4 linked regions of the Notamacropus eugenii genome follow. The protein of the gene in region 2 interacts with the protein of the main gene of each other region in a biochemical or structural test. Links are inferred from orthologs where the notes say so. Each region holds a gene or a part of one and is shown on either strand. Other genes may lie near its edges. The genes, in order: SMAD2, ERBIN, ABCA1 and KCNA4.

Region 1 (7,550 bases), about 4.4 Mb from region 2:
CAGGAAAAAAAAATGGGGATTCCTACATCATTTTAGAAAAAAATGGAAATCTATACTAAAATATCATCAACTAAAAATGGCTTCTTAAATATTCTAGTTTTAAAAATACACAAAAAATTATGATTCACATTTCAGAATATTTTCCTTACTCTCCCTTCTCTTTCATTTTATAGATATTACTTTATTTAATGAAAAAATAATGAAAAATTCATAAATTCAGATTTTAAAATTTTCTAACCCCACCACATAAAGTTCCACAAAACTTCCAGGGCAAAGGAGAGAATGACTATATGGTACAGTGGAAAGAGACCTGAGTTAGAATACTCTGTCCCACTTAATACTCATGCAATCAAGTCACCAGTTTCCAGGCCTCAGTTTCCTCATCTATGAGAGGAAGGGGCTGGACTCAATTACCTCTTCTAACACCGGTCTCTTCCAGAGCTAAACCTAGGATGCCATTCAAGTATTGCCCTTTACACTTTAAGACACTTTACTGTCTTTAAGACAGATTGGGGAAAAAGAACAAAAAAATGCAGTTGGTGGCTAAACTATTTCCACTCAATAGATTAAGTAACTAAAACACTCCTCTCTTGTTCTCTATCTGCAATCCAAGGGAGGGGAAGAGACTGAATTACTTCCAGTCCAAGTTTGTTGTTAAATTTGGATTTTTGAAATTAAGTAAAAGAAAATTGAACTGCACTTTTATTTTAAAGTCAAAGTTCGCTGATGAATCTGGGTGATGAATCTGGTATCTTTTCAACTAATTTGAAAAATGACTTGCTTTTTAAAGTACACATCACAGATTTTGGCATATATGGCATATGATGCATATATATGTTGCATGTATATACACAAACATATATAAAATTTGTATCTACACAAGATACAGACCTTGGTGAAGGGAAAGGAAAGAAAATCGACTTTTGGAGTCAGATGACTTGGGGCTCAAATCCCATTTCTGGTGCCTTCCACCTACTCCACCTTGGCTAAGTCACTTAGCTTTTAGGGGACTCAGTTTCCTCATCTATAAAATGAAGGACTTGAACTAGACGGGCTTCTCATGTTCCTTTCCAGTTTCCCTAAGTCTAAGCGTGCCACGATTTGTAAAACAAGTTCATTTTCATCTACACAAAACCCAGACACTGATCTTTTGAAGGTAGAGACGAGGTGAGAAGAGAGGGGAAGCAACAAAACCAGTTAAATTGGTTCCCTTTGTTTGGGATCAACAGAATAATTCCTAAATCAAAGATTAAAAGGTACACACAAGACTTAATAAACTACAGTATTCACCGCCAGGAAAGTGGCAAATTATAGAATTATGCTGCAAGCATCCCCCATGGGCACGCTTTTCGTAGAGCAACTTTAAAAAGTAGACCCCAAAGGAATCATTTCCGCAGTAAATAATAATAAATAAAGGAAACTAAAGGCAGTCCTTGCCGCCGCCGCTACCACCACCACCACCACCACAGCTACTACGACGACGACCACCACTCCTGGATCACTGCCCCACCTCCAACCCCCTCTCCAGCTTTAAAGACTGTCTGGACGGGTTCCGACAAGGAGGCACAATGGACGTTCCGGGCCCCGGCTGCAGAGGACGCCTCTGGCCCCTTCCCATCATCACCACTTTCTGCCAGCCCCGGCCGCTTCCCAGGACCGATCACACTCCACACAGGACCGCCCCCCCACCCATTCACCCCCAGTGAAGGAGGCGAGCACAAATACATCTCGGAGACTCCCGGAATTGTAGGAGGGGGTGGGGGGGATGGGGGTGTTACCTCACGGAGGCGGCGGCCCCTCTCGGGCAGGATCGGGGGGGTCTCGGACCTTTTGTTCCTTCCCCTTTGGAATGGGATGTAGGAGTCTGGGGAAGCAGGGAAGGAGGGGGAGGGGGGAGTGGAAATGGTCGATTTAAGGCGGAACTGAAAACACTCTCCCCTCCGCCCCTCCCCCAGAGGAGGCAGAGTCCCGAGGCGAGGAGGCGGACCAGCGGGGCGTGGGGGGCTGGGAGAATGCAGGTTGGGAAAGGGTCGCGGGAAGAGGGAAAGAGGAGCCGCCGCCCGGTCCGCCCACACCGGAGGGAGGAGAAAATAGGGGAGGGCGTGGGGACGTGCGTGTCCCACCGCTCGCCCCTCCTCCCCTACCTCACGCGCGAACACACACACACACACACACACACACACACACACACACACACACACACGAACAAGACTAACCGGCCCGCGCGGTTTCCCTGCCCCCACCGCCTCCGTGCCACCTACCGCTGCCGCGCAGCGAACCCTGCTCCCGGCTGCTCGCTCGCTCGGCTCTCGCTGCCTTTGCTACCTAGCTGCTGCTATTGCCGCCGCTGCTGCTCCTGCTCCTCCGCCGCGGCCGTGCGGGTAAAACCCGCCTCCTACCCCGGGCCCCGGGTCCCGGCGATTCGTCAGTATAGCCCCGGGGCTGGCACCCTGCCGCCCGCTGATTGGCGCCCCCGCCCGCCCGTTAGGGCGTGAGGACGCGCCGGCCGTGAGGAGCGCTCCGCGCGCCCAGGAGATGGGGTGGGGGGGCGGGGAGCGGGGGAAGGGAGCTCAAGTGCGCCAGGGAGAGAGAGTTGCGGACTAACACCTTCTTCGCTTTTCCCTCTTGGCCACGCCCTCCTAACCCACCCGATCTGATGGACATCTACCTCGACGAATCGGAGCTTGCCGAGGTCGGGGTGTGCGCGGCACGTCGGGTTCCCTGAATCGGACGGGAAACGTCGCTCGCCGATGGGTCCCGCCTCCTCCGTAGAACGTGAGGTGGTGTGGGGGGAGGGGTCAGAAAGGCAGCGGTTTCGGTTGATTCCTCTCGCCCGCGTATACAGGAGATTCACTAGAGGTGGGGAGGAGGGGAGGGCGGAAGGACAGGCTTTATCTAAACATACAGTAACCTGCCGCGTAGGGAAAATAATCCCAGCAAAAGTACTCACCCATCTTTCTACCTCACCCAGCGTGCCTCAGCCTCGTTGGCTTGCCGCCCCTTCCCCAGGTCATCACCCCTTTCACACTCACTAAGTGGCCACAGGGTGGGGCTCGTTTAGGGACTATCCCTCTCCATTCCAAAAGGGATTTAACCTACGCTCAGGGGAGGGAGGACTAGGAAGGAAAGGGGGAGACGAGAGCTCCCAGCCCCACCCCCATAGGAGACAAATGGGACTGAGAAAAGGAAGGGGGCGTGGTCAAAAGCCGGGAGGGTCTTGTATGTAAATAAGGAGGCGGGGACAAAATCACCTCCAAGAGCAAATTAGGATGTCCTGGAGGGGCGGGGCTCAATCATACTAGGAGAGCTTGGTGCGGGTCTCTGTCCGCTATACCGGTGAAATATGCCAGCCATAGTAAGTTCGTTGGATTTATGATGGAGGGGACCCCAGAGTCCACCAGATCCTGTCCTCTTACTTTTCAGCGGAGGAGAGTGAGGCCCAGGGAGGGGAAGGGTCTTGTCCAAGTTCAAGTAGGGAGTAAATCGCAGAGCTCACATTAGAACCCAGGTCTTCTGATACTAGAGCTAGGACTTGTTCTACTACGCTGCCCTTTACTAACTACTACACTGCCTATGTTCTTTCAAAAGTAATTTCTTCTTTTCCTTCTTCTCCTCCTCCTTTTCCTTCTCCTTCACCTCCTCCTCCTTTCTTCTTCCTTGACCACCTTGGCTAGTATATTATCAAAATCCTAGTTATTGATCTGTGCTGGAATTTTTGTTTTCATTTATTTTGATTACCCTAAATTATTCCCAATGTCCAATTCATGATGTGGGACTGCAAAATCTGCCCTATGGAAATGTAAGGAGGCTTTGAGGTGGTGGCCCCCCAGGGCTCTCTGACAGCCTATGCAGCCATAGTCTGCCATTTCCATTTAGGGAGTACCTCAACCTCTAGAGAAGAGAATATGAAATAGTCAAATCAAATCAGCTCTTTATTGAACACCATTCCTTTCTAGAATTTTTGACAGATGAGGAAATCTGGGCATAGTCTGACATACATGGTAGACTGAGATAAAGGCTTCAAAAGATTCAGAGAAAAGATAGGTAGATTCCTCAGATAAAGGTCTCATTTCTTAAATATACAAAGAACTTTGTCAAATTTATAAGAATATGTCATACCCCAGTTAAAGGATCAAGGGATATGAACTGGCAGCTTTTCGATGAAGAAATCAAAACTATATATGATCATATGAAAAATTGCTCTAATTACTTAGAGAAATGCAAATTAAAACAACTTTGAGATATCATCTTATACCTGTCATATTAGGAAAAGGATGAACAGGATGGGGTATTTGATTGTGATGGAATATTACTATGATATAAGAAATGATGAGCTGGTTGATTTAGAAAAACATGGAAAGACTTGGACTATGAAGGAAGGTACTATCCACCTCCAGACAAAGAACTGACAAATAGAAATATGCATAGTATGGTCTTATATGTATATATGTATATGTGTATAATATATGTGTATGTTTATAGATATGTATATATATGCATATATATTCATATTTAATTGTAGCCTTTTATGAAGGGAGAAAAAATAAGATAGAAAATGCACTGTAGACAACAAAAGAAAACCTAGAAGGAAGCACAGAAAAGCTGGGTAGCTTTGAAAAAATACATAGTATTGATTACATAGGTTTTCATGAATAAACATTTTTTTTATATTGAATCCTCTCTTATGTTTACCTGTATACAAGGAATTTTTTTTTCTTGTTTTGTGTTTAACTTTAAGAGAGGAATAAAAAACATATTTTAAAAGATAAATAGGATCCTGTGGGCTAAAAGATCATGGAATTAAGGCTGACAACATGTTGAATGTAAGAACATGATCCCTCTTGTAGAAATAGTGCTAAAACTTAAAATCAGCTATTTCTGATAAGGGAAGCTAAGGATAACAAAAAAGTATATTTAAAGCTATATTGGGAGAAAAAGATCTTTGAAAGAGATAAGACCTTTGCTTGGAGTGCATGAGGTTATGATACCTAAGAACCAAGAAAACAAAACTGCTCAAATCTTATTTTGCTTCTGTTTACTAAGGAAAATGATCTTTTCACTGGAATGACAGAATATGACTAATAACAAGTTGATACCCAAGTAACATGATGGTAAAAGAGTATCTGTTTGTTCTTGATTAAAGCAGTTCACCTGGTGTGCAGATAGATTATATACTCAAATACTGAAAGAACTGGAAGGGATGTGACTGTTTAATCAGTGATATTTGAAAAATCATGAAAAACAAAGGAGATACTACAAGATTAGGAAAGTGCTAATGTGGTTCTGATTTTCAAAATAAAAGTGGGAGGAGAGAGAACAGTTTTTAAGCTATAGACAAATAAACTTTACTTTGTGGGAAAATACAAAAATATATCATTAAAGAGATGATTGGTAAGCCACTAGAAGGGGAAACCGTCATTAAAAAGAACCAGCATAACTTCATCAAGAATAGATCATGGCAAATTCATCTCATTTCCTTTTTCAACATATTTAATAAATTTGTAGATGAAGGGAATGCCATGGATATAATTTACCCAGATTTTAACAAAGCTTTTGATAAAGTGTCACTTACTATTATTGTAGAGAAGATGAAGAGGCATTGGGTAGATACAATTAGACAGATTTAGAATTGGTTGAATAGTTGAACTCAGTATATATTAGTAGTTCAATGCTGGCATGGCAGAATATCTCCAGTGGAGTAACTACAGAGGTCTCTGCTCGGTTCTCTACTATTTAACATTTTAACATTTTATCATGGACTTGGATAAAAGTATAGATGACCTGTTAATCAAATTTGGCAAAGATATTGTACTGGAAGGGATAGAGAAGATTCTAGAAAATGAAGTCAAGTTTCAAAAGACCTTGACACATGACTAAGTAAAGGCAGGAATTCACCTCATCTCTCCCAATTTCCCCACCAAACAACTTCATAATAATGCCTCAAAACAAATTCTGGAGCAGCAGAACTAACAAAGATACAGTGAAACAACTTCCCAGCCCAAGACAACTTAGAAAGTTGGTAGAAAAGTTATGTCTCACTAGGGGGAGAATGGAGTGCAGTCCAGCACAGATCATGCCCTGGCAAGCCAGCAGTAGGCCTTGAGGGTGACTAAATCAGCCCACAGATGGTAAGGAGAGAGGGGTCAGAAAACCGGTAAGAAGGCAATTACAGAAAACCCTTTCTTGTCACTGGGTACAGGATGCTGTTACATTGCCAATACGTGGTTCCATTGCGCAGTCTCAGGGTGAGGAGGATCACTAGAATAGTAGAACATGTGGCCACAGGAGAGGCACAGTTACAGAGCTGAAAGAGTGCAGCATTCATTCCCAGATCAGAGCACAAGCCAGAAGAATAGTGACCACACCTCCCCTTTGATCATACCACTTTGGAAGAACTGAAAACTTAAAGATACCAACCCCCTCAAAAATTAGCTCTGAAAATAGCAGCTCAAAAACCCTGAAGCTTGGGACCATGCCCTTTCTACGCAAAAGTCAAGAAATACACTGGAAAAATTAGCAAACAGCAACAAAAAGAACCTAACCATGGAAAGTTACTATGGTGATAGAGAAGGTCAAACCATAAACTCAGAGGAAGACAACAAAATCAAAATACTATTTCCAAAGCCTCAAAGAAAAATGTGAATTGGTCTGGGGTCCAAAAAGGATTCCTGGAAGGGCTCAAAAAGGAGTGTTAAAATCAAATAAAAGAGGTAGAGAAAAATGTGAAAAGAAATGACAGTGATTAAAAGTGAGTCAACAGCTTGGTAAAGGAGGCAGAAAAAAAAAATGAAGAAAATATTGCCTGAAAATCAGAATAGGCCAAATGGTAAAAGAGGCACAAAATTCCACTGAAGAAAAGAGAGATACAGAGGGAGATACAAAAACTTGCTGAAGAAAATCATTTCTTAAAAATTAGAATTAGGCAAGTGGAAGCTAATGAGTCCACGAGACATCAAGAAATCATAAAATGAAAGGAATAAAAAAAGAAGACAATGTAAAATATCTCACTGGAAAAACTTTTTACTTGGAAAAATAGATCAGGGAGAATTAACTTGAGAATTATTGGACTACCTGAAAACTATGATAAAAAATAAAAAGCCTAGATGTCATATTTCAAGAAATTGTCAAGGAAAACTTCTCTGATATCCTAGAAGCAGAGAGTAAAATAGAAATTGAAAGAACCCACTAATCCCCTCCTAAAAGAGATCCCAAAATTAATATTATAGCCAAATGCTAGAGCTCCTGGGAGAAGGAGAAAATATTGTAGATAGCCAGAAAGAAACAACTCAAATATTGTGGAATCAAGATAACACAAGATTTGGCAGCTTTTATGTTAAAGGATTGGAGGGTTTGGGATATGATATTCCAAAGAGCTAGGATTACAAACAAGAATCATTTACCCAGCAAAACTGAGTATAATCCTTCAGTGGGAAAAATGGATATTTAATGAAATAGACAACTTTCAAGCATTCCTGATGAAAAGACTAGAACTGAATGGAAAATTTGACTTTCAAACACAGCACTCAAGAGAAGCATAAAAAAGGTAAACA
Region 2 (7,578 bases):
CATTGCAGTTCATTAAAAAAATCATTTCAGTTTCAAATTGGGTTAATAATTTTTGTTTAAACCTTTTCATTCTTGCATAGGAGAAACATACATAGCTCAAACTTATTACAAGGAGTTAAATGAAACAATTAAGATCACAGATTCAGAGCTGCAGAGGACCTTAACAGTCTTCTAGTCCAAACCCCTCCTCATTTTAAAGATGAGGAAACTGAGGACCAGAGAGTTTGGAAAATTTGCCAACAATCATACAAGTTGTAAAGTGGCAGAGCCTAAGTCCTTCTACTCCAAATACAGCACTTATTCCACCACAGTATGCTGCTTCCACCTTCATTACTAAACCCAAGACAACTAAAACCACAAAATCAAAATTTGGCTTCCACACTTTGGCATAAGCTTTTTCATGCACTCAGATGTTAAGATGACATCATCTAAAACTGCAAACTGTTCTTTATTACTTAACACTCAAATCACATAACTAGCAAGTGGAAGAAAACATTTAAATTTTCTATTTTCAACAAACCAAATAAAAATCACCAACTGTATTTCATGCACTATAAGCAAAATTTTCAGGGATGTATGTCACTGATCAAATACTGCAAAAGAGATCTAAGTATTTATTTATATACACACACATTTGACCCACTGCAGACAACTGATAACAGTATTTAGAAGAAATGTAATTTTTATAAATACATTCACACAAAACAAGCAAGAATCACAAAACGCTAAAATGTAAAGATGAAAGGAGACTTAGAAATGATCCAGTCAGGCTCCTTCATTTTTACAAGTATGGAAAAAAGTCTAGGAAAGTTAAGTGAATTGGGATTGTGTCTACTCTCTATTTCTAGGCTGTCAGAAGAAAACAGTCTCATAAATTGATCAAACTAGTATCCAACAAGCTTAATGGACCTATGGAGTTCTAAGATCTATACTTATTGAGGGAATTATGTTTTTATTAAAGAAATAAAGGAAAATAGGCAACATGACTAAGGAGCTAGTCTCAAGGTAAGACCTGTAATTCAAGGCAAGCCTTGGACACACACTTGGCTAAGTGACTTGGAAAAAATCGTCAGTGGTCCAGGAAATTCTACAGACTATAAACGCAAAATAATGGAGGTTCTGCAATGGTACACAGAGTCTCCTAACAGAAAGGGGGGGAGGGGAAGGGGAAAGAGATAAGCGACATTTATTCAAATAACACTAATAACATCTAGTTTAAAATTTTCTTGACTCAAAATCTTGAGTCTTTATTTGTGGCTCCCCTGAGAGGAGATAAACAAAAATTACATTAAAAAACGAAAACTGGTTCACAGACTTATTGCTTGATGTAACGATTGTCTTCTGTAAGTCACTAAGACAGAGAAACAAAACTTTGAAATGTACTCTTTCTTTGTAAGAGGCCTGCTGCTCTATTTAGGCTTTGTTGCTCTTATGCCAAGGAAGTGCCATATAAGGAACCTCAAGTTCAATGTCATTCATTTTGCTTAGTTTTTTTCAGATGTCCAGGAATAACCTCTTCAGCTAGCTAATAATACAGTTGTGCATTTTATATTCCTTGAGCAAGCTGGTTTGATTTAGTACTTACTTGCAGAACTAAATAGCAAGAAAATAACTACCTGGAGAAAAAAGACTCTGACAAAGGCCAACTTAACATGTAGTAGTTAAGTTTTTACTATCTGTCTTTTTGCATTTAATACAGATCAAAGCTGTTAGGAAGAAGTAATAATTTGATAGAGATAGTTTAAACTTGGACTTTCTTCTTTCCCTAAGGAAGCTACCATCTTTTTCAACTGCCACTAATTATTTGAGATCTGATAAACTAAACATCAACTGATATTATAATGGGAAATTACCTCCAGAATTTTCCTTGCACTCAAAAAGACAACTTTTTGTTCGTTAGCACCCTAAGTACTACAGACAAAAGTTTAACTATCCTTTCACACTAACAAATTCAGATATGCTGAAATACAAGAACCAACTGATAGAATCTGTGAAGTCTACTAATTGTTTTTAACACTTAGACTGAACTAGGTGGCCTCTGATATCCCTTCAGATTTTGTGACTCTTTAAATCAGTTTACAATTAATTTTTGCCATGCTTTTTAAGTTCAGCCTCCAAATTAAATTTGATCACAACACTTACTAAATAGAAATCCATTATATAATAAGTATTTGTGTCAAAACGATAATCCTCAAAAAGTCAAGAACAAATACCAGAAAGTTGTGTATAAATGTGTACGGTGGCTGTCATGCAGATAAATAGTATCAAAGTCTTATCAACATAGTTGCAGGTGTTTTTCAAAACTTACAAGTTCCTCTTTACTCAGAACAAGGAATCATATCCCTTATTTCCGTTCCTTTCTAAACTGGGCACTAACAGGAAAAATCAGATTAAGGTAATTGTCTTTTTAATAAATTTGTGAAATAAAGACTTTATCATACGGTTCTGCAAAGGGCCAAAATAAACACCCTTTCTGGAGGACAGGAAAACACAGGCTCAATCTTCCTGAAATCGCCTTCCACCCCATCGCTCCCCCAACAAGAACCAAGGAGTTTTGGGGTTTGTCACTGCGTTACACAGCCAGCAGCCTTCACCTCCCCGAGAACTTCACTTCAACGCCCTCTACTAGTTAGCAGTGTAAACAAACGTGGCGGGCAGTCCACGGCACACCACCCCACAGCGACGTCTTCCCGACGGACTGGCAAATCCAAAGTTGCTAGATTCGGTTCACTTAAAACAAAAATTTTAGGAGAATGCATTTTGGGAGCGGCCAAGTGCTTACCTACTTCGGGACCTAGGGGAGAACAAAGGAACTCTATGTCCTCAAGAGCCTAAAAAAACAACTTTGGGTTCCCCACTTCCCCTTTTCCCCCCGATAATGCCAGACCGGAGGGTGGACTGCAGAGGCAGCCCCGATATCTCACCGATCCAGGGCTGCCGGGCTTCCGATGGGAACAAGGACAGAGAGATGCAGCCCCTGCTCCCCGCCCCACGTTCGCCCCCATTTACCTCTCCAGAGTTCTCGGCCTCTTCTTCAGGCTCCCAGCGGAGACATGGTGGGGGTCCCTGGCTCCCCAAGACGCCGCTAACCCTCCATCCTCCGCGGGGTCTTTTCTCTCGGGGAAGGAGGAGGTGAATGGGGATGCCGGGCGGCCTCTCTCAAGAGGAAGAGGAGGCTGGTTTCGGCTCTGGGGGCACAAGCGGGGCGTTGCAGGCCGGTTTCCTGGTCTCAAGTTTTGACACGAGTTTCCCAGCCTCCCCAACCAGGATCCCCCGAGGAGAAGGGGAAGGCAAAAAAAAAGTTTTCTCTCGTGACACCGCCCGGAATTACTGCGTGAAACTCACTTCCTGCCCGGGCGGAGAAGCTGAATCCAGGTCCACTCAGGGGAACCCGGAAAACAGGCTCGACCTAAGTGGGGAGCAGGAGGCAGGCGGCAGGGGGGAGGGGTGTCTGTCTGTCAGCCCCGCTGCCGCCGAGGACCGTCCGAGCTCCGGCTGCAGAGATGGACGATCCAAAGGCAATCCTGCAAAGCTACCCGTGCGCTCGCTGGGCTCCCAGGCGGGCGGGAGCCGACGACGCGCCCCCTCCAGACCCCTCCCAGGCCCGGCGAGCGAGGCTGCACTGCGCCCCTTCCTCCTGCTGCCGCCGCCGCCGCGGCCCTCGCTAGGCCACCTCCTGCAGCCGCCGCTGCCGCCGGGTTATTGTCTCGATCGCGCCCGCCGCGCCCTTCGCCCGCGCTGCCGCGGCCGCCCCCGGGGTCCCGAGTCCAGGGAGAAGAGGGAGGGGGCAGGCACGAGGGCCGGCCCCCGGCCCCGGCCGTCAGTCCTCCCGGCTCGGGTTCTCCGTCTCCTCCTCCTCTCCACCCCCCTGCCCTCGCCTAGAGCTTGCGGTTTCCCGCCCGTGCCCCACTCCCGGAGCCCCGGACTGCTGTGGCGGAGGAGGAGGCTCCGCGACCGCGGGCGGGGTGGGAGGGAGCGACTCGGGCGACGACGCCGAGTTTAACACCGGAGCCGAAGCTGCCGCGGCAGCCCCGCCACATTCACTAGACACCGACCGGAGGGGAGGGGAAGTCGGCGGAGGAGGGGGGAGGGACCGGGCTGGGGCTGAAGCAGGAGGGGAGCGGGGCCTCTCCGGCTGAGGCTGGCGGGGACCTGGCGGCAACAGCGCCCCCCAACCAGGACGAACGAGAAGACACTGCGCACAGCGAACTCGAGCAGCGGAGGGGGAGGGGAAGGGGGCGGGTGCCAGCGGCCTCCAGCGGACTCTCACCCCAACTGCCAGCCACAACGGAGCGGCCGGAGGCCGGCGTGACGACCCAGTGGCTCATCTCGGCCTCTGGGGAGAGGAAAGGAATGAAAGAAGCCTCCCTCGGGGAAGGAGGGGGGGTGAGGGAGGGGCCGCCCGCGGCCGGTTCGAGGGAGAAGTGTGCTGAGGGAGAGCCGCGAAATGGCAACAGACCAGCGTGCGCCTCCGCTGGGCCCTCCGGAGCCTCGCGGCGATCCTCGCAAGGATAACTTTTTTTTTGCATAAACCCAGCTCCCCTCGGAGGGCTCCTCCAGGCCCCCAGTTGCAACGAGCATCCAAAGAGCCAAGTAGTGAAAGGGCCCCGGGGGCGCCCGACCGGCTCCTCTGGGAGCCGAGCCAAGTGCTTGTATTTTCCCCGGGTCTTCTCCTGGGCCGCAAGCTGCAGGCCCCGGGTCTCGACCACGCGCCCCGCCGGCCCTCCAGCCTCGAGTGGTGGAGGCGTGCATCTGCAAGGTGTGAAGGGGCAGGGAAGGCTTCCTTCCAGCCGGCAGTATTCCTTTCAGCTGGAGCAGTCCTGACTGCCTGCCGTGAATGCCACACTCGGGCTGCACGGAAGCAGCAGCTCTGGGTCCTTTCCGGAGCGGGCCCCGCTTTGCTGCTCGGCTGCCCCGAGAGCAGTTCAGCGGAGGCGCCTCCGGGCCTCCGGCTCCGACCGCCCGCCAGACCAGACCGAAGCCGGGATGGGGGAAGGCGGCTCCAAAACTGCTTTTGTTGTTACCCTGTGCCTTGGTGAGAAGGAGGATTTGGCGCACTGCAAACAGCTGCTTTCTGTGCTGCAGCTGCTGGATTATGTCTCAGCTGTATGCAGTCACACAAAACATCTGCATTTATTATTAAGGGAGATACTAAAGCATTCAGTGTCATTGCATCTGGAAAAAGCGAGAAAGCCTCCACCGTAGCAGTGGATTGTGTAGCTTCTTGCATTGTTTGCCTCTTGCTTTTGATATGTTAACAGACTAAGAGATGATCTTGTTTCACTACTGAAAAGGAACAGAAAAAGGATATATGGGGCACATTTTATCCCCAGCCTTCAACGAAGCTGCCTCCTTTCTATCCTCTAATTTCCGGGCCCCTGAAGTCACTTGTCTAACCAAACGTTGCATATGACAGGGAATTATTTATTAAAGAGTATGAATAAAAAGTCCTATACACTGTATTATCGAATAGATGGCTTTAAACTTTTATCCAGAAAGTACACATAAATTGTCCCCAACAGCTTATTTACCAAAGTGAATGTTTACGATATAAAAACACCCTCGATTAAATTTATCTTCTATGTGTCCAAAACATTAGAGTGGGGGCCGTTATAATTTCTGGAAAACTACCAGGATTAACAGATTATTTCACTGATCTAGAACTGATTTTAGAGGGGTTTAAAGAAAAACTTGGTAAATCTCTGGTCCCTGGGGAGTGTTTCTTTTTTTTAAGGGTTACAACTTAAAAAAAAAAGCTTTACTACTAAATGGCATCTTAGATGTCAACTTATCCAACTTCCTCATTATACAGATGGGGAAACCGAGACCTGAGAGGATTTGCTCAATTTCAGATAATACATTTTCAGGACCAGAAAAATCCCTGGTCCCCTCATTGCAAATCCAGCCTTTCCCCCCACAATATACTTTATCATTTAAGGTCACATAGGGAACATCGACCTTGCAAGTCAGAGATCCAGGTTTTACATGTTTCTCTGGCATTTACTATCCATGTGACCATGGACAAGTCCTGAATTTCAGCTTCTGCTTCTATAAAATGGAGATAGTAACATTTGCACTACTTGCTTTATAAGGGATATTAAGAAAAACATTTTGAAAGCTGTTACATTAATGTGAATTATTATAGCATACCAGGAACTAGAACTGGTATCTCTTTTTAAATTTATTTTTATTTCATTAAATGTCTTCCAGTTACATGTAAAAAAGATTTAACAGTTTTTTTAATTTTAAGTTCCAAATTCTCACTCTTCCTCCTAATCCTTCCCCCTCCTTGAGAAAGCAAGCAATTTAATTTTGATTATACGTGATTATAGGTTATTCAAAACATATTTCCATATGAGGGGCAGCTAGATGGTTCTCTAGTGCAGGAGTCAAATCTCACCTTAGAGGCTTGACACTCACTAGCTGTGTGACCTTGGGCAAGTCACTTAACCCCCAATTGCTTCATCCTGGGTCATCTCCAGTCATCCTGATGAATAACTGGTCACTGGATTCATATGGCTCTGGAGCAGAAATGAGGCTGGTGACCTGCACAGCCCTCCCTCACTCAAAAAAAAAAAAGTCAAGTGCAAGTCATGTCATTATTTCTCTGATGGCATGGTCTTCTTCTACAATGAAGGATGAATACACATTTTCATATGAGCCATGTTGCAAAAAGGAAACACAAACAAAATTTAAAAAAAATTAAAATAGTAAAAAGAATTGTGCTTCAATCTACATCCAGAGTACATTGTCTCTCTGGGGGTGGATAGTGCTTTTCATCATGGGTCCTTTGCTGTTTGATCATTATCTTGATCAGTATAAGTTGTCTTTCACTGTTGATCCTCCTTATAGTATTGCTGTTACTGTGTAAATCTTCTGGTTCTGCTTACTTCACTTTGCATGAGTTAAGAGCTTCGAAGGTTTTTCTGAAACCATCCTGCTCATTATTTCCAATAGCACAGTAGTATTCCACCATCTGTATCTTTTTTTAAAGAGAAGCTTTCAAGTCCAGGAAGCAGCTGATGCATACCATTAACCCAAGGCTAGGTTCCCAAGTATATCATGATTATGTCAAGAGACATAATATAAAGGCTGCATAATAATATTTATGAAGTGCTTTAAGGTTTGCAAAAGGCATTCCTCTCTTCACCCCTACAAAGTAGTGTAAATATTATCCCCTCTTTACATATGGGAAAACAAATTCAGATAAAATGGCATACCCAAAATCATGCATGTTTGAGACCCAAGATTTGAACCTAAAACTGTCCTGATTCTCCAAGTCCACCTTGATGGTTAAAATATTTCCTGGGATGGTAAATATTTACTTAATTAAGCTTTAGCTCATCCTGGATCTCTAAAGGCTGATGAAATTCTGACCCATACTTAATAATTGTGATTAGAATTATAATGGTTCATATGGGATCCTGTTCTACTCTACATCATCCCCATTTCAAAGGCTTTAATCTTTCCAAAGGAGAACAACCTGATTTAGAATCTCTAAACTTTGGATTAAGTAGACCTAAAAATCTCATTTATCTTACACCCAGTAGTACCACCTTTCAGAATGTTCCTGTGGCT
Region 3 (7,974 bases), on a different chromosome or scaffold from region 2:
TATTAAAATGAGGCATATCAAACAAGCAGGACAGCTTTGAATGCTACATATTGACTTAATTATTACAGGTGGCTACGGTGGATATAATGTTGGACAGAGTCCGTAGGTCTAAGTTTGAATTCAGAATCAGCCATTCTATAAAATAAAATATTAATAATAGCACTTAATTCACCCAAATGTAGTGAGGATCAAATATATGTAAGGCACTTTGCAAGCCTTAAAGCACTATGTAAAAGCTAATTTTTATTATTATTAAAAGCAAACTGTATATACATAAAAGATTTTAAGTTTCAGGTACAAGTCTTCCTGTTCTACTACGGATATGTAAATGTACCTTTATTTGGAGTTGTTAAGTTCAGCAAGGAAAAATAAAATTTGAAATAAAATGAGTTAAGTACCTTTTTTTTGTTTCGCATTTTCATTTCAATTGTTCCACACAGTGGAAACTGCCCAATTTGTCCCGTAAGAAAGTGGCTGTTTTGTTTTGTTGGGAATCTGGGGTGGAGAGAGCAAACTCACCCTCTACCCGGTGTTATTGCCAAAAGGTGAGAAAAAAGCTATTACAGCTGTGATTTCATTTGGTTCCATTTTAATAATTAATGAATTGTGAGTTGCTAAAGTTATAATTATTTTGTTTGCCGGTCAAGACCCAGATCTCCATAGGGTGTCACAAGAATAAAACAATGAACTCAGTCTCAGGCCTGTGCTCGCTTTTCGAAGTATCCTTCAAAAGTATCACTTGCCTTCTTCTAAAACCTGATTATCTCAGTGCTGAAAAGGAACAGTAACCAGGTTACTGTGGTCCAGAGTCTGTTTCATTTCTGCTAAGTCCCCAAAGGAGGGAGTCAAAAGACAATGAAAGCGCCCAGAGCTGTGGACTTCCACCTCCGGGAAACTTCCAAGATCTAGCCAAGGATGGTTGGCGGCGGAGAACAATCACGAAAATCAACAAAAAAGGGGGCTTTCTAAAGCTTCCTCCTAGTCTGCGCCAGCACAGTTTCCCAATCCATGGCTGACTCAGTCTAGATCAGAAAGGAAACACAGAACTTTGCATCTACAGCCCAGACCCGCTGTCTGCCCCAATCCTCAAGTTGTCTCTAAGAGTCTGTCGGTCCTAGTGGCACTTAGATGGGACCTCTTCAAGCACCCCCACTTTCCCCCCCACCCACATCCCCCCACCCACCCACCCACCCACCACTCCAGATGGAATCCCCACCCCCAACAAGGAGGTCTGGATTCTTTAGCCCAAGAGGAGGGGGAGAGAAGCAAGGGGAGGAAGTAAAGGGGTGGGGAGAAAAGGCTTGGGGGGGGGGGGTGCTGCTGCGCGCCCCCGCCCTCCCCACGCTATGTGGCAGAGCTCGGTGTTCTGCGCAGCCGGCCCGGGGTTACTCTCGGTCATTCTAGCTGCGCCGCCGTCTCCACACAGAGACAAGCAGCAAAGACCAAAATTGGGGGGTAGGGGGTGGGCTGGAGTCAAGGAGGTAAAACAGAATCGCACCACAGATTACATTAATCCACCATCTCCCCCCACTTTTGAAAAATATGCATATGTTCACCAGGTAAGATCTATTAGCAGAACCACACAAATGTTAATTAGAAATTATTAGAACTATGCTGAAAATTGGAGCGGGGCGGGGGGGGACAGAATGATCAAAGCCATGAGAAGGGGTTAAACTGTTTAAGGAACGTCCCGGGTTACACAAGAAAAGCTTTGTCAGTTACAAGTAATCAGCAAGAACACAGCTCGATGCCTTTCTTGTGGGTTGCCCAGAGGAGCAAGCGAAGGAACCGTCTCCCAGCTAAAAAAGCGCACGAACCAGAAAACCAAAAAGGGGGTTCGGGAAGAGTCCTGTATCCCTCAACAAAGGCGAGGGAGTTCCTGCTGCACCAGGTACTGCTCGTCCTCCCTTCGGTCCACAAAAACTCTGAATTCCGCTCCCGCAGGTCTCCCCCCAAAAGTGGTTCGCGTGCTCCCCTTTAACGTCCTTCTCCCACCCCACTTTCCCCGGACTCAGCCTCGCGGTCGGCAGGATGGACAAAGAAAGGGGCCCCGTACCCTTGGTCCCCGCGGATCCCAAGGGATGCTCGTCTTTCTCTCAGGAGGAGACAAGCCTCCCGACCTCGTCCCGAGAAGAGAGTGATGACGAAATGGAGAAGGGGGAATTGTTTTCATGCTCCCAAAGCACAGAAACCCTGCCCAGAGGCGAGAGAAGGCAGGCAGATGTGGGGGTCCTCCCCTCCACCCAACAGTAAGAACAAATCACAAAAATCAGACTTTTCCTCTTCCGAAAGAAAAAAGGGGACCCCCCCTACACACACACACACACACACACACACACACACACACACAGCAAAATCTTAACTTGTTGGAGAGCTCTTACCTGCTTTCCCGCTTTTGTTTCTGCCACTCTCTCCCCTGAGCCTTTGGAAATATTTGTGCAAAACAAAGCAAAAATTTAAAAATAGAGAGAGAGCCAAAAAATGGGCTCTCGCCCCCGATAACCCTTTAGTGCCAAGCTCTGCTTTAGCTTTCCTGCGGGCAGCAACGGGCTCCCGCTTCTCTGCTTAGCACACGGTCCTCAGTCCCTCTCTCCCAGAATTAAGGGTTTTTTAGCCTGGACTAGTTCCTTTTATAGATTCGGCTGCGCTCAACAGCGGGGTTATTATCGGTCAAACTCTGTTCTCTTTCTCTTCCCCACCCCCTACTTCCCGGCTCTCTGTTTATGTAGTTCAGTCACTCACCGAAAGCACGTGGAGGAGCGACACGCCCCTTAAAAGGGCGACAGGCAGGAGACCCGCTCTCCCCCAACCCCTTCCCCCGCCTCCCCTCCTCTCCCTAGCCGCTGAGTGGTGGATGGGATGAACTGAGGCAGGTCTCCAGGAGGGAGTCTGCCCAGGATCACTTCCAGAAAAGCCCTCGCTGTACAATGGCCTGCGCTTCGTGCTCCCGTCTGCAGTCCAGACAGCCCGACGTTTCAGATAATCCTCTCAAGCTCCAAAGTATCTGGAAAAACCAAGCCACTTAGAAGTAAAGGAGAGAAGCAAGGAAGAAGCCCACTTTCTCCCCTTCCTCTGGGGGGCGGGGGCTTGAGTGGGAGCAAACTGCTTGACAAGCCCCCCCCTGCCCTCCCCTTTTTTGATCCTAGTTTCGTTTTCTGTGCTTGGGGACCCAGGCTAGAGACAGACCTTGAGGGTGGAGGGCGCTTTCTCTCATTTTCTCCAACCCGAACGACTTAACTCTTAAAGTCAAGGGTGTAATTAAAGACTTTCTCCTCCCCCTTCAACCCCTTCCTCGAATCCTGCCCCTTTGCCCAGAGGGCGATACTACGTCAGAGTCTGCTAGTGCAAGTGAGAGACCCACTTGCTCTGTCTTCTCCCCCTTTCCCCCCTCAACAAGCACTCAGGACATCCTCCTGTGTGGGAGAGGGGAGGAAGGGTTTGTGTGGTTGAATTCCTGAGAGACTCCACACACACACACTTGGGGCCAGCGTCCAGTTTAGAAAATAATCTTTATTCTCTGTACACAATGACAAACAAAACATATTGTCAACATGCTCTTTTTGCGTTGTATAGATGATTCATAGAGAACCAGTCCCTAGGCTTGGTAATTACATTATAACTCTGCCCAGCCAAACCCTTTTCTGAACAAACATTACGTCCGCAGATCTGAGTTCTAGTCTCACATATGCATTTGTTTTAACTCTGTGACCCTGGGCAAATTACTTAGGAGTTTTCTGCCTTATTTTCTTCATCTGTAAACTGTAGCTAATAGTAATATCTATCCCCTACCTGCCTCACAGGCATGTTATGAAAATGAATAAAACATTTGTTGAAACACTTTGAGCCTCTCAGAAGAAAGGCTCTATAAACAGAGAAGGTACTATTATATGGTTGGTTGGCAGCCATGGCCCATAAAGCAGTGTTGCTCTGATAGGATGTTTTCCCATACATTGCATTTAAAAACCGAAAGCCAACAAAAATTTATGAAGTTTTGCTACATCTGAGCAGGCAGAGCTGGTCTAGTTTTATGAGTAAATAGAGTTGGCCGGGTCTTGCCTTAAATAGCCTGAGTGTTGGGCTTGAAGGGATGATAGAGATCATGTCAGAGGAAATTGAGTATGTGTGAAAATCACCCTGGTTTGGGAGTAAAATGATCAGGGCTACAATCCAGGAGCCAGCTTCTTTTCTCAAAGTTACTAATGACAGGTTTCTCAGTGAGAAGGGAAAGAAGAGAGGGAGAGAGCAAATTTGGAACTCAAAACTTTAAAAAATAAATGTTAAAAATTGTTCTGACATGTAATTGGAAATATATGTATATACGTGTGTATATATACATATGTGTGTACATATATAAATATATACACAATGTGTGCATTTGTACATAAATGTGTCTGTATATACCTACACATATATGTGTGCCTGTGTATATAGCGTGTGTAGGTATGGGGGTATATATACATATATGTATATACACAAACACACATACCTACACACACACATATAATTTAAAGTTACTAGTGTCAGGGGCAGCTAGGTGGTGCAGCGGATAGAGCATGGGTCCTGGAGTCAGGAGGACCTGAGTTCTAACACTTCAGCTTGTCTGAAACTGAAGTAGGCAATGAGGTGGTGCAGCAGATCAAGTGTTGAAGTTGGAATCAAGGACACCTCAGTTTAAATCCTACGTCACACATTACTTAGCCATGTGACACTAAGCAAGTCACCTTAACCTCACTCAGCCTAGGTTTCTTCATCTCTAAGAGGAGGACAGATAATAGTGTTTTCCTCACAGCATTGTTGTGGGGCTCCAATGAAATAATGTGCAAAGCACTTCACACCCCTGCCAGTTATTGTTATAATTCCTCCCTGTACTGGCAAGTAAAATAGAATCTTTTGCTGTTTTTGTTTTATTAAAAGTACCTCTGATTGAATAATGTGATTGGGGAGGATCTCTCCCATCTTTTGAGGGGACCTTGATTAGGGGAGTTGTTGTGTAGGAAGGTCCCAAGTACCTTTTGTTTTTTCTATTGAGGCACTGGGTCAGAGGGTTGTGTGTGTTCATCCTTCATTGCTAGAGAAGACCATGCCATCAGAGAGATGATAACATGACTTGCACTTGACTTTGTTTTGAGTGAAAAGAGGGCTGTGCAGGTCACCAGCCTCACTTCTCCTCCAGAGCCATCTGAATCCAGTGACCAGATATTCATCAGGATGACTGGAGATGACTCAGGATGAGGCAATTGGGGTTAAGTGACTTGCCCAAGGTCACACAGCTGGTGAGTGTTAAAGTGTCTGAGGTGAGATTTGAACTCAGGTCCTCCTGACTCCTGCACTAGTGCTCTATCTACTGCACCACCTAACTGCCCAAGGTCAGAGGGTTATAAATACTCAGAGGATGAGGTTTTACTTTGAGAGGCTTAGTTTTTGGAAGAAGGTCTATGTGCCAGATGAGACTCTGGGAAGCCACTAAGCAACCCCTCCCCAGCTTTTTTGAAAACCCAGATATTGATGCTTCCCTGTCTGGTTAAGATGTATGTATGTTAGTGGTCAGGCAGTTTGGAAGCGCTATCTGTTGATTTTTGACTTCTCTGAAATATTGACTTTGATTTTTTCTGATACCTGTGCTTAATTAAAGTGATTATTAATCACTTTTATTATTATTAATCACAATTAAAGTAATTGTTAAACCCTCAAAAGTTGCATTTCCCTTTGTGAATGCAAATCTAAGAACCTGTGATAGCAGGTCCCCCTGTATATGGTGGGGTGCTTAGTGCTACACTCCCCAAAAAACCTGTCCTTCCTCCTCTAATTTCCATTCTTATTGATGGCCCCATGACTGGTTAGATCACCCATGCTCAAAACCTCAGGGCCAGGTTTGGCTCTTCCTTCTCCCTCATTCCCTCAATCTCCTGCATTGCCAAGTTCTTTTATTCTGTTCCTACAATATCTTTTATCCCTCCCCTCCTTTATACTCCAAGTGTCACATTCCAGTTCAGGCCCTTGTCATCTATTGTCTCCCTACTTTTGCCCTTGCTCCTAGGCCTTTATCTTTCCAATCTGTCTTTTACGGAGCTTCCAAAACAAGCTTCCTAATGCACCAGTCTGGTCCAAGTCAGTAACATTGAGCACTTCATCATTTCCTACAAAGTAATACCAATTCCCACTTCTGACATTCAAGGCCCCCTGCAATATGGCATTATTTCACTACGCTCTCCTTCATATATACATATTCCAGACAAATTGATGCACTGGCTATTCCCTAAACTGATCCTGCTTTCTCCAAACTGTGCATTTACATCATACATACTCCATGACTAGAGTGGATTCTGTGTGATTTGGACATATTTCCCTTCATTCAAGATCCAGTTCAGATTCCATTTTATCAAGGAGGGAGGAGGCTTGTCCAGTGCTTCTGGTGAAAATCGGTACCTGTCTCTCCAATCTCTCATCCATTTCTAGTTGACCTTTCTTATACACTTATCACACATGATCAAAGGTTTAGAACCTGAAGTAACCTTAGAAGTCAACTGGTCTAACCCACTCATTTTACAGAAAAAGAAACAGACCAATAGAGGCTAAGTGACTTGACTAAGGGTTATACAGACAATAAAGAGCAGAGCCAAGTTTCAAATCTAGATCAAACCTAGGATGACAAGTCCAATATATTTGCCATTATACTGCACTCTCTTATAGTTACCATATATACATGTCACCACTAACTCTATGATATTGTAAACTCCTTGAGGGTAAGGACAATGTAATTTTTCATTTTTGTGTCCCTGGTACCCACACATAGTGGGGACTTAATAATTTTAAAATTCTAATTTGTTGTGAAGAACACACTTTGTAAATCATAAAACATTATATATAAATACAAGTTATTATCATCTAACCTATTCCCTCTCAATTTTGAAAATGAGATAATTGAACCTCAGAGAAGTTGTGATTGAACATGGTCACATAGGTAGTGAGTGGTGGAAACATGATCAGAGCCAATGAAAACTTGGCACAATAGATTCAGAATCAAAGGACCTGGGTTTAAAGCCTACCTCTATTGGTAATTAACCATGTGACTTTGGGAAGTTTTCTCATCTGTAAAATGAGAGGATTGGATTGAATGACCTCTAAGAACTGTCCCTTCCAGTGTTAAATCTAAGATCCTACAAACCCCACATGTTGCCTCTGCCTCCCACTTGTCTTAAATCCTGAAATTCCACTACTGAAAGATTTATTATTTTAGTTCCGGAAAGCATTTTGATCAACTTGTCCAGAGAAATATCTTGGTGTTTGATCAACCATCTGAATAGCTGAGGGTAAGGCTCTATGGTGTACATAAATAACTTAGGGTAAGTTGGTTGGGGCTTTAGGGAGGAAGGGGTCTGGGGAAGGGATACAGAGGTAGGGAAAAATGAAGAAAAGACGAATGTTCCAAAGACAAATTTCACCTACTTCATAATTCTACCCAAGTCCTGCCCTGAAAAGTGCAGAATTCATGAACCACAGGCACCAAATCTTTGCCCAGACAAAGAGTAAAGGATAAGAAAGGGTCGAAGATGACTGAGGCTTTCAGTCTGACTTCCTGGAAGAATCATTTCTAGTGTATATGTTATAATTTGACTGCTTCCTATGATTAAAATAGCTACCTCTCAATTTCTATGTCTATAAGACATGGGAAAGCAAGGACACTGAGGCTCCAGGTACTTATATGTCTTGGGGAAATTGAAGTGACCAGAGAAGAAAGTGAAGAAGAAATTGTCCAAGTTGAAAAAAGACAGTAGAGGCCTGCTATCTGTACCATTAGAGGGATTACCTATATCAGGGATGGGGAATCTGCAGCCTCAAGGACACATGTGGCCTTCTAGGTTCTCAGGTGCAGCCCTTTGACTGAATCCAAACTTCACAGAACCCCCTTAATGAAAGGATTTGTACTGTAAAACTTAGACTCAATCAAAAGGCCACACCCAAGGACCTAGAAGG
Region 4 (7,073 bases), on a different chromosome or scaffold from region 2:
TTGATTGAGTTTAATAGCATGCTTCTAAACTCTGGATTAGTTCCCTACCCAGAGGAGGTAGGGCAATTAATCCCAGTTCCTAATAATCCACCTTTTTCCTTTCCTTTCCTCCAATTTTGTTTTTAAGAGTCCTGGCATAATTCCCACATAGGAGCTTATAGGATCATAGATTTAGAAATGGAAGAGACTTGGAAAGTTATCAAAGTTAACCCCTTCTTTTTGCAGATGACAATATTTAGGTCCAGAGAAGTTAAGGGATTTGCTGAGTCCCATAGATTGTGTCTGAGGTGGGAGTTGATTCTAGATCCAGCACTCTAACCAGTATACCATATGGTCTCTTTATCCTTTTATATCCCTTTTCAGTCTAGAAGGTTTACCTTCACTAGTTGTTTTCCCATCTGTGCCCCTCATTTCCCATTTCCTCAAGTTTTCTCTCTCTGGTTTTCTCAACATCCACATTTCCTTCCTACCTTCTCCTTACTGAAGAATATACCTTCCTCCAAGGCCCAATCTGGGTTCCACTGTCACTGAGTTTCCCTCTGGACTTTCAATCAATCTTCTTTATTTTTTGTCCCTCTCCTAGTTGTTCAAATCCATGGATTCACCCACTAAAGCCCCAAATCTTCTATCTCCCTTCCTCTACCCTTTATATGATGCAATAGAGTTCATGAAGTGACTTTAGGGCCACGGAACTGGGGGATGATTAGAGGGGCAATTTACAGACCATTTCTAATAGTATTTTCAGCCTCTGCTGTAACTAGATTCATCCAGATGCATGGGACCAAAACAAAAAGGTTTTGGGGAATTCTTGAGAAAATCCATCTCTTGACCACCTGCTGCTCCTTACTGAAGTGTGTCAGCCCTGAAGGCCCTAGAAAGCATTAAGGATGTGCAAGCCCAGCTGTGGCAAATAGGGACCATATACCTCTCCCAATTAAGGGAGCTCTTCTTGGGAGGGAGAGGAAGTCCCCATTTGGAGGTTTCCCAGGCAACAGAACTGGGAGGCTACATCTCTCAAGGTGCCTTACATTATCTTTTTCTATGTCCCTAAGAAATTATTCGTACATTCTACAGGAACTTCAAGTCCCTAAATGTAACACATCTCCAGATGTATTTTCACAATAGAGAATCTATGAAAGCGAGGCTCAGGTCAGGCCAAATAAGCACAAGGTGGTTTGTTTGTTTTCGTGACTTCAGATCTCTCTATCCCTACTTCCCAATGCACAGACAAATATATCAATAAATGGAAACTCACGTATATAGATAGATAGATAGATAGATAGATAGATAGATAGATAGATAGATAGATAGATAAAGCACATAACCACAACTTTCCCTGTATCATTTCTTACTTCTCTTGACCCTTGAATATTTAGAACTCTCAGACAAGAAACTAGTCTGTCTCCTCTATGTCCATTAGCCCTCGCTCCCACTTTACAAACTGATTTAGGAGGTGTGTAGGGTGGGGGAAAAGTGAGTGTCCCTCTTTCATTCTTCTCTCCTTCTGTTGAAACATCTCCCTTTCCTATCATTGGTGACCAGTTCTCTCATTGTCCCTTGTCTTTAAAGAGTTCCCTCCTACCTAACAAGGCTGACTAGGTCAAATCTTCCCCAGGGTGAGCTAGGCTGACTCAGATTTACTCCCAAGGGTTTCTCAGTAGAGACCAAACCAAGAAACCCCTCTGCCATCCCTTTTTATGTCTGAATTCCCATAGATACTGAGTGTGCACAGTAGGTGTTTAATAAATGTTTGGTGACTGATTGATTTATGGCTAATATAATTATGCTCAGTTCCTCCCCGCCCCGACACACACACCTTTTAGACTCCTCCCACTCCTCTACCAACAAACCCACCACCGCCTTCAGGATATAATTCTTTTTTATTTCTAATTCCCCAAAAGGTCCAGGGTGGTACCTGGACGTGGTCCCTCTGCTTGTGAGTGTGTGGGCACATGTGAAAGGCCAACACACAGTGAGAAATAAGCACACCAACACACACGCGCCATTTATATAGCCCCTAAGTGTGTGCTCATCATATGCTGATAAAAATACATGCAAATTCAGAGCTGGGAGAAGCAAGCAAGCAAACGAAACCCGCTCACCAGCTGTTCCCCAAAGGAACAGCGGACCAGACTCAGGGATGAGGCAGGCAGCCTCTGCTAAACCGAACACCCGCCCCCCACCCCCACCCCCTCCGCTGGGGAAACGACATCTTTAATGGAACAGTCGCCTCCGGATACAGGTTCATGCCTAGGCATAGGAAACCCGGGACATGAAGCCCCTTCCTCGAGATTGGGAAAATAACAACTGTTGGCAAGCGGAGCAGACAGCATCCTCTGCACCTCCCTTCTCCCATCTCCCAGGGTTATTTTTAACTGCCTTCCATTCATGCCCTTCTGTTAGATCCTGGTAGCCCCCTCGTTTTCTGCCCCCTCCCCCGCCCCGCATCCATGCCTTGTTTTTAAACAGAAACTCTGTGACACCCCCCCCCCCGCAGGGGGGGAAGGGAAGGAAAGAGAGGAGGGAAGAAGAAGAATTCAAGGATACTTACAGTTCCCAGGCAGAGGATTGGGGGGGGGGGGGTCCTCCCTGTTTTCCCAAGCCAAAAGCCAACAAGGATGAATGGCGGAGAGGGATCCAGGAGAAGAGGGAGGAGCACTCAGGTGGGGGGCAGGTGGAGGGGCCAAAATAAGCCCAGCTAGCGACTTCTCAGATCGGCGAGGGGCTGGGGTTGGAGGGCAGAGGCAAAGGAGCCCCGCACAGCTGGGGGAGAGGATGGTGCTACCCTGGGAAGGACCCAGGCTTCCAGGAGCCCCCGGAGATCTGCGTTCCTGGAGGCGACGGGAGGGCCACACATAGGGAGAAGGGGGAAAAGAGGGGGAGGGAGCCAAGGGCAGGGATAAAAATCCTAGACAGCAGAGCTCACTTGTTAAGCCTGAATTCCTTCCCCAACATCCATCTCTCCCTCTCTCCCGTGCGCGCTCTCTCTTTCTCTCTCTCTCTCTCTCTCTCTCTCTCCTCCCTCTCTTCCGAAGCAGCAGCAGCAGCAGCACACGCCTCCCCGGGCGGGGGCGGGGCCAGGGCCGGGCCGAGGGTGTGGCGATCGAAGCTGTCGCCAGGGGCGCCTACCCGGGAGGGCGCAGGGGGCGGGAGCAGTCACGAAGCCGCAGTTCCCTCCCCCGCCCCACCCCCTCCCCAAGGACCCTGCCGCCCCCTACACACACCCCCTAGGGAAGGCTGGCTGTCTGGGATGTTGCTTCTTGCTCATCCACTCTGAAAGCCCTTCCATAGGGTTCTCTCCGGCGCACCCCATCATCATCACCACCACCCCCCACATGCATAAAAAGGTGGGGGTGCGGGAGGGAGAGGGAGGGAGAAGGAGAGAGGAGAAGGAGGAGGATCCCTGAGAAGTGGGAGGGTGGAGAACCCGACGGCTAGCCCCGGAGCTAAAATGAGGGACTAGGGCTGGGGGACCCCACGGGAGACCCCAAAGGCGCGGAGCCTGGAGCTTTGGGAACCCGGGTTTACCTCCCAGCTGGAATCTCATCACCCCCGACTCTGTGTGTGTGTGTGTGTGTGTGTGTGTGTGTGTGTGTGTGTGTGTGTGTGTGTGTGTGGTGTGTGTGTGTTTGTGTGTGTGTGTCTCCTAACCCTCCCTTTGTTTCTTGCTTGGCCTACTCCCTCCAATCCTGCTTTCCCCTCTAAGCTCCAATCCCACCCGTGGGCCCCTAGCTTCTCCTGTCTTCGAGCTGCGTGGGGGTGAGTTTCTCGTCCTCGCTCTTTGCTCCCCTCGGAGTGAGGATGCTCTTTCCCTCTTTACCCCTCCTCCCTCTTCTCCTCCTCCTTTTCTGCACACCAGGAGATTTCGGGGAAAGGACTGGGGGGCTTCTGGGCTGGAAAGGGATAAAAAGGATGGAGATATCCTCCCCCTCTCCCCACCTCCTCTCTTGGAGGAGGGGTCCGACAGTTCCCAAATACTTCGCCCTGCCTGGGGTTCCACTCTCCCGTGATCCCGGACCTGCGTTTTCCTAGGGGGCATTTGCTAAGGAAAGGGTAGAGGCCCACCTACACAAAAACATGAAAATATTTACTTTTTTTTTTTCTTTGTTCAAGTTGGTGAGGCCTTCCGATTCGGAAAGCTCTTAGGTGACCGTGACTCCCATGTGTCGGAATACATACACCAATGCCCAGCCACCAAGGAGAGAGTGAAAGAGGCAGCAGGTGCCCCTTTAGGTGAGTTCCTCTTGGATCTGACTTCCTTGGAAGCTTCGATGTCAACACTTGGCCATTAATATGCCGCTTGCAATGGATGTAGTCTGGAGTTCATTTAAAAAAGAAAGAAAAAGAAAAAAGCTAAAAGGGTTTTTTTGGTCTGTAAGTACGTGCCTTGGGTTTCTCATCTTTACAGAGAAGTTAAAGCTGCTGAGGAAGGGACTGAGACTGATCACAACTAGGCTTTTGTCCCCTTCCTCGCCAGTCAGAGCATCTGAGATCCTTGACTCAACCAGGGTTCCCCGTTTCCGAACTCTCCCCATCTGGTCAAAGGGAGGACAAGCCTGAGCAACCCAAGGCTTGTCTTCTCCCCAGAGGCTTGGGCCAACCCCAAAGGATGGCTTTGTTCACAGACTGTGTTGGCATTCTCCCTTTGTGGTAATACATTAATTATTAAGAGAAATATTCACGAGTTGAATTATAGATATGCCTCCGCACACCTCTCCACTCCAGGCAGGTAAAAAGAAGCCTGATGAGGGGATTTTAAAAATAATAACAATATGCTTGTTTTTCTTTTCATATTAAATATACTTTAAAAGTATGACCTAGAGAGACCAGGCTGATGGAGTAGCAGAGGTTACTAAACCCCCTTACCAAACCTGAAAGTTTTCACTTGTGGCCTCTGGGCCAAGTTTCTGTTCAGGAAAGAGAGAAGCAGAGAAATATACCTTTTCATTTATGTGTGTGTTATAACCTCAGACCCTCCTTATGTCTCCCTCAGCAGCTCATTCAGTATATTACAAGGATCCGTCTTTTTAAAAAGTTGTTTAGGAATGTTTGCACTAGGCCAGAGTGGGGATTGGGCATAAGCAAGGTAGACAGTTAGCGGTCTCCACCACATTTTTAATACTGCTTCTTACGAATGTAAATATTTTAACATGAGGAAATTCAACATTCTGCGGCACAATAATAGCATTTCCATGATGCTTGAAGGTTTGCAAAGTGCTTTAGAAATATCTCATTCCATCCTCACAATGACTGGAGAGTTAATCATTTATTTTACAGTAAGTCAAGTTGAATGTCATACAGTGGGGCCTCAGAGCCGCCATTGAATAGAAAGTAGGGATAGGAGGTGGGGTAAGGGTGTCAAACCTTGCCCAGGATGAGAAAAAGGACTTTTTTCTAGGGCAACTTGGTGTCCTACTGAAGAGAAAAAGTCCCTGAGTTTGACTCAAGAATCAATAGTTCCTGAGTTTGGCTCCTGCTTGACACTTACTAGTGGGGACACTAAGCAAAGCACTTAATCTTGAAGTGCCTCAGTTTCCTCAATTATAGAATGGGAACAGTGATAGCATTTACCTCACCCAGTTGTTGTGAGGCTGAAATGGTATCACATATGTAAAGCATTTTTGCAAACCTGAAAGAGCTACATAAAAAACTACTTATTCCAACTCTCCTCATGAATAGAAGCAAACATAATACAAAGCTGTTGTCTCATCAACATGAAAATGTCTTAGAGAGTGGAGGAAGGAAGAGGGAAGGCAACAGGGATCCAGTGTCCTTGGCTCCAAAGCAATTTATGAAATTCATCAGAAGCCCAGTGCTGTCACTGGCTTGGAAAATAGAATTGAATGATGTCCCCAAGATGGTAGCTTTATCAAAAGCAAGACATTTTCATTCTACCTTGTTAAGACTGTATTAAGTATGCTTCCCAGTATGTTTCCTTCACCTCTACCATGTACACAGCCTCAAGTTGTTGTTGTTTTTTTTTAATAATTTAAAGGTGCGAAAGGACTTTATAAATATACAGCATATTTCCAATGTAACATGAATCCAGATTACTTAATCAGGGAGAGAATGGATGCTACAGAAAGAGATCTTAGGAAGGCCAGAACTTTTATTAAAATCCCAGGTTCAAATCTGCCACGTACTACTTGTGTGACCCTGGGCAAGTCACTTAACCCTTTTGGGCTTCCTTCTCTATTAAATGACAGAATTGGGCTAGATAACTTTACAATTCCCTTTCATCTCGTAAACAATGATCAGTGGTCTCACAGAGGTCTTTTAGAAAATGGTATTTTGGAGCAGCTAGGTGGTGCAACAGATAGAGCACCAGAGTCAAAAAGACCTGGGTTCAAATCTGGACTCAGACACTCACTAGTTGTGTGTACCCAGGCAAGTCACTTAATCCCCATTACCTCTAAAAAAAATGACATTTTGTTTGTTTTTGGTCCAAAACTTGATATTTCATCACAGTGGGGAACTCCCCGTGTCATTTAAAGTCTTAGAGAACCTCCAGCGGCACAAGCAATTTATATGCCCTGCCCACTGTCATACAGCTGATGTTTGTTAGAGGTAGGATGTAACCTTGAAATCTGACTTTAAGACCCAGACTTTAAACCTTAATTAATTGAGATGGCACAAGAAAAGATGGAGCTAGAGACTGGACCCATGATTACATAAGTATTGGGAACATCCAGGGAAGAGATTCCCCCACTGCAAGCCACCATGTTGTAACAGTCTTAGAGAATCACCTAAGAGAGCTCTGAGAGGTTCAATAGCTCTCCACTTATGACAGAGATGAGACTTGAGCCCAGGGCTTCCTGACTTCAAACCAATTCCTTGTCTTCTCAAACTGAATTCTCTACCTCATTCTTAAGATCCACACATCTTTCCCAACCTTCCCAAAACTTTATCCCACAAAAAGCCTTCCTTGGTAAACTCATGCTCCTCCCATCATCTCCTTATTTTGAATTCCACTAGCATTTATATCAATAATGCCTCCTAATGGCTCACTATCTATTTCATAGAAGTCCTTGACTCTCCAATTAGATTTTTAACTTCTCTGGGAGCATCAGCTC

Evidence for each region.
Region 1: the proteins of ERBIN (region 2) and SMAD2 form a complex in vitro, tested with the Homo sapiens proteins (2 studies listed by BioGRID). The link is inferred for Notamacropus eugenii from reciprocal best matches to the Homo sapiens genes ERBIN and SMAD2.
Region 3: the proteins of ERBIN (region 2) and ABCA1 interact in a test that uses a peptide from one of them, tested with the Homo sapiens proteins (2 studies listed by BioGRID and IntAct). The link is inferred for Notamacropus eugenii from reciprocal best matches to the Homo sapiens genes ERBIN and ABCA1.
Region 4: the proteins of ERBIN (region 2) and KCNA4 interact in a test that uses a peptide from one of them, tested with the Homo sapiens proteins (3 studies listed by BioGRID and IntAct, with this or other methods). The link is inferred for Notamacropus eugenii from reciprocal best matches to the Homo sapiens genes ERBIN and KCNA4.

The regions. Positions count from the first base shown.
Region 1 is NC_092875.1:325,358,336-325,365,885, reverse strand, and holds the start of SMAD2 (mothers against decapentaplegic homolog 2), read right to left. Parts: upstream 3,089-7,550; 5' UTR 2,669-3,088; intron 2,593-2,668; exon of another isoform or gene 2,262-2,592; intron 2,112-2,261; exon of another isoform or gene 1,779-2,111; intron 1-1,778. UniProt on the Homo sapiens protein: Receptor-regulated SMAD (R-SMAD) that is an intracellular signal transducer and transcriptional modulator activated by TGF-beta (transforming growth factor) and activin type 1 receptor kinases.
Region 2 is NC_092875.1:320,993,821-321,001,398, reverse strand, and holds the start of ERBIN (erbin), read right to left. Parts: upstream 3,149-7,578; 5' UTR 3,010-3,148; intron 1-3,009. UniProt on the Homo sapiens protein: Acts as an adapter for the receptor ERBB2, in epithelia. By binding the unphosphorylated 'Tyr-1248' of receptor ERBB2, it may contribute to stabilize this unphosphorylated state.
Region 3 is NC_092872.1:61,855,271-61,863,244, reverse strand, and holds the start of ABCA1 (phospholipid-transporting ATPase ABCA1), read right to left. Parts: upstream 3,011-7,974; 5' UTR 2,382-3,010; intron 2,298-2,381; exon of another isoform or gene 2,057-2,297; intron 1-2,056. UniProt on the Homo sapiens protein: Catalyzes the translocation of specific phospholipids from the cytoplasmic to the extracellular/lumenal leaflet of membrane coupled to the hydrolysis of ATP.
Region 4 is NC_092877.1:21,295,554-21,302,626, reverse strand, and holds the start of KCNA4 (potassium voltage-gated channel subfamily A member 4), read right to left. Parts: upstream 3,008-7,073; 5' UTR 2,956-3,007; coding exon 2,927-2,955; exon of another isoform or gene 2,552-2,926; intron 1-2,551. UniProt on the Homo sapiens protein: Voltage-gated potassium channel that mediates transmembrane potassium transport in excitable membranes. Forms tetrameric potassium-selective channels through which potassium ions pass in accordance with their electrochemical gradient.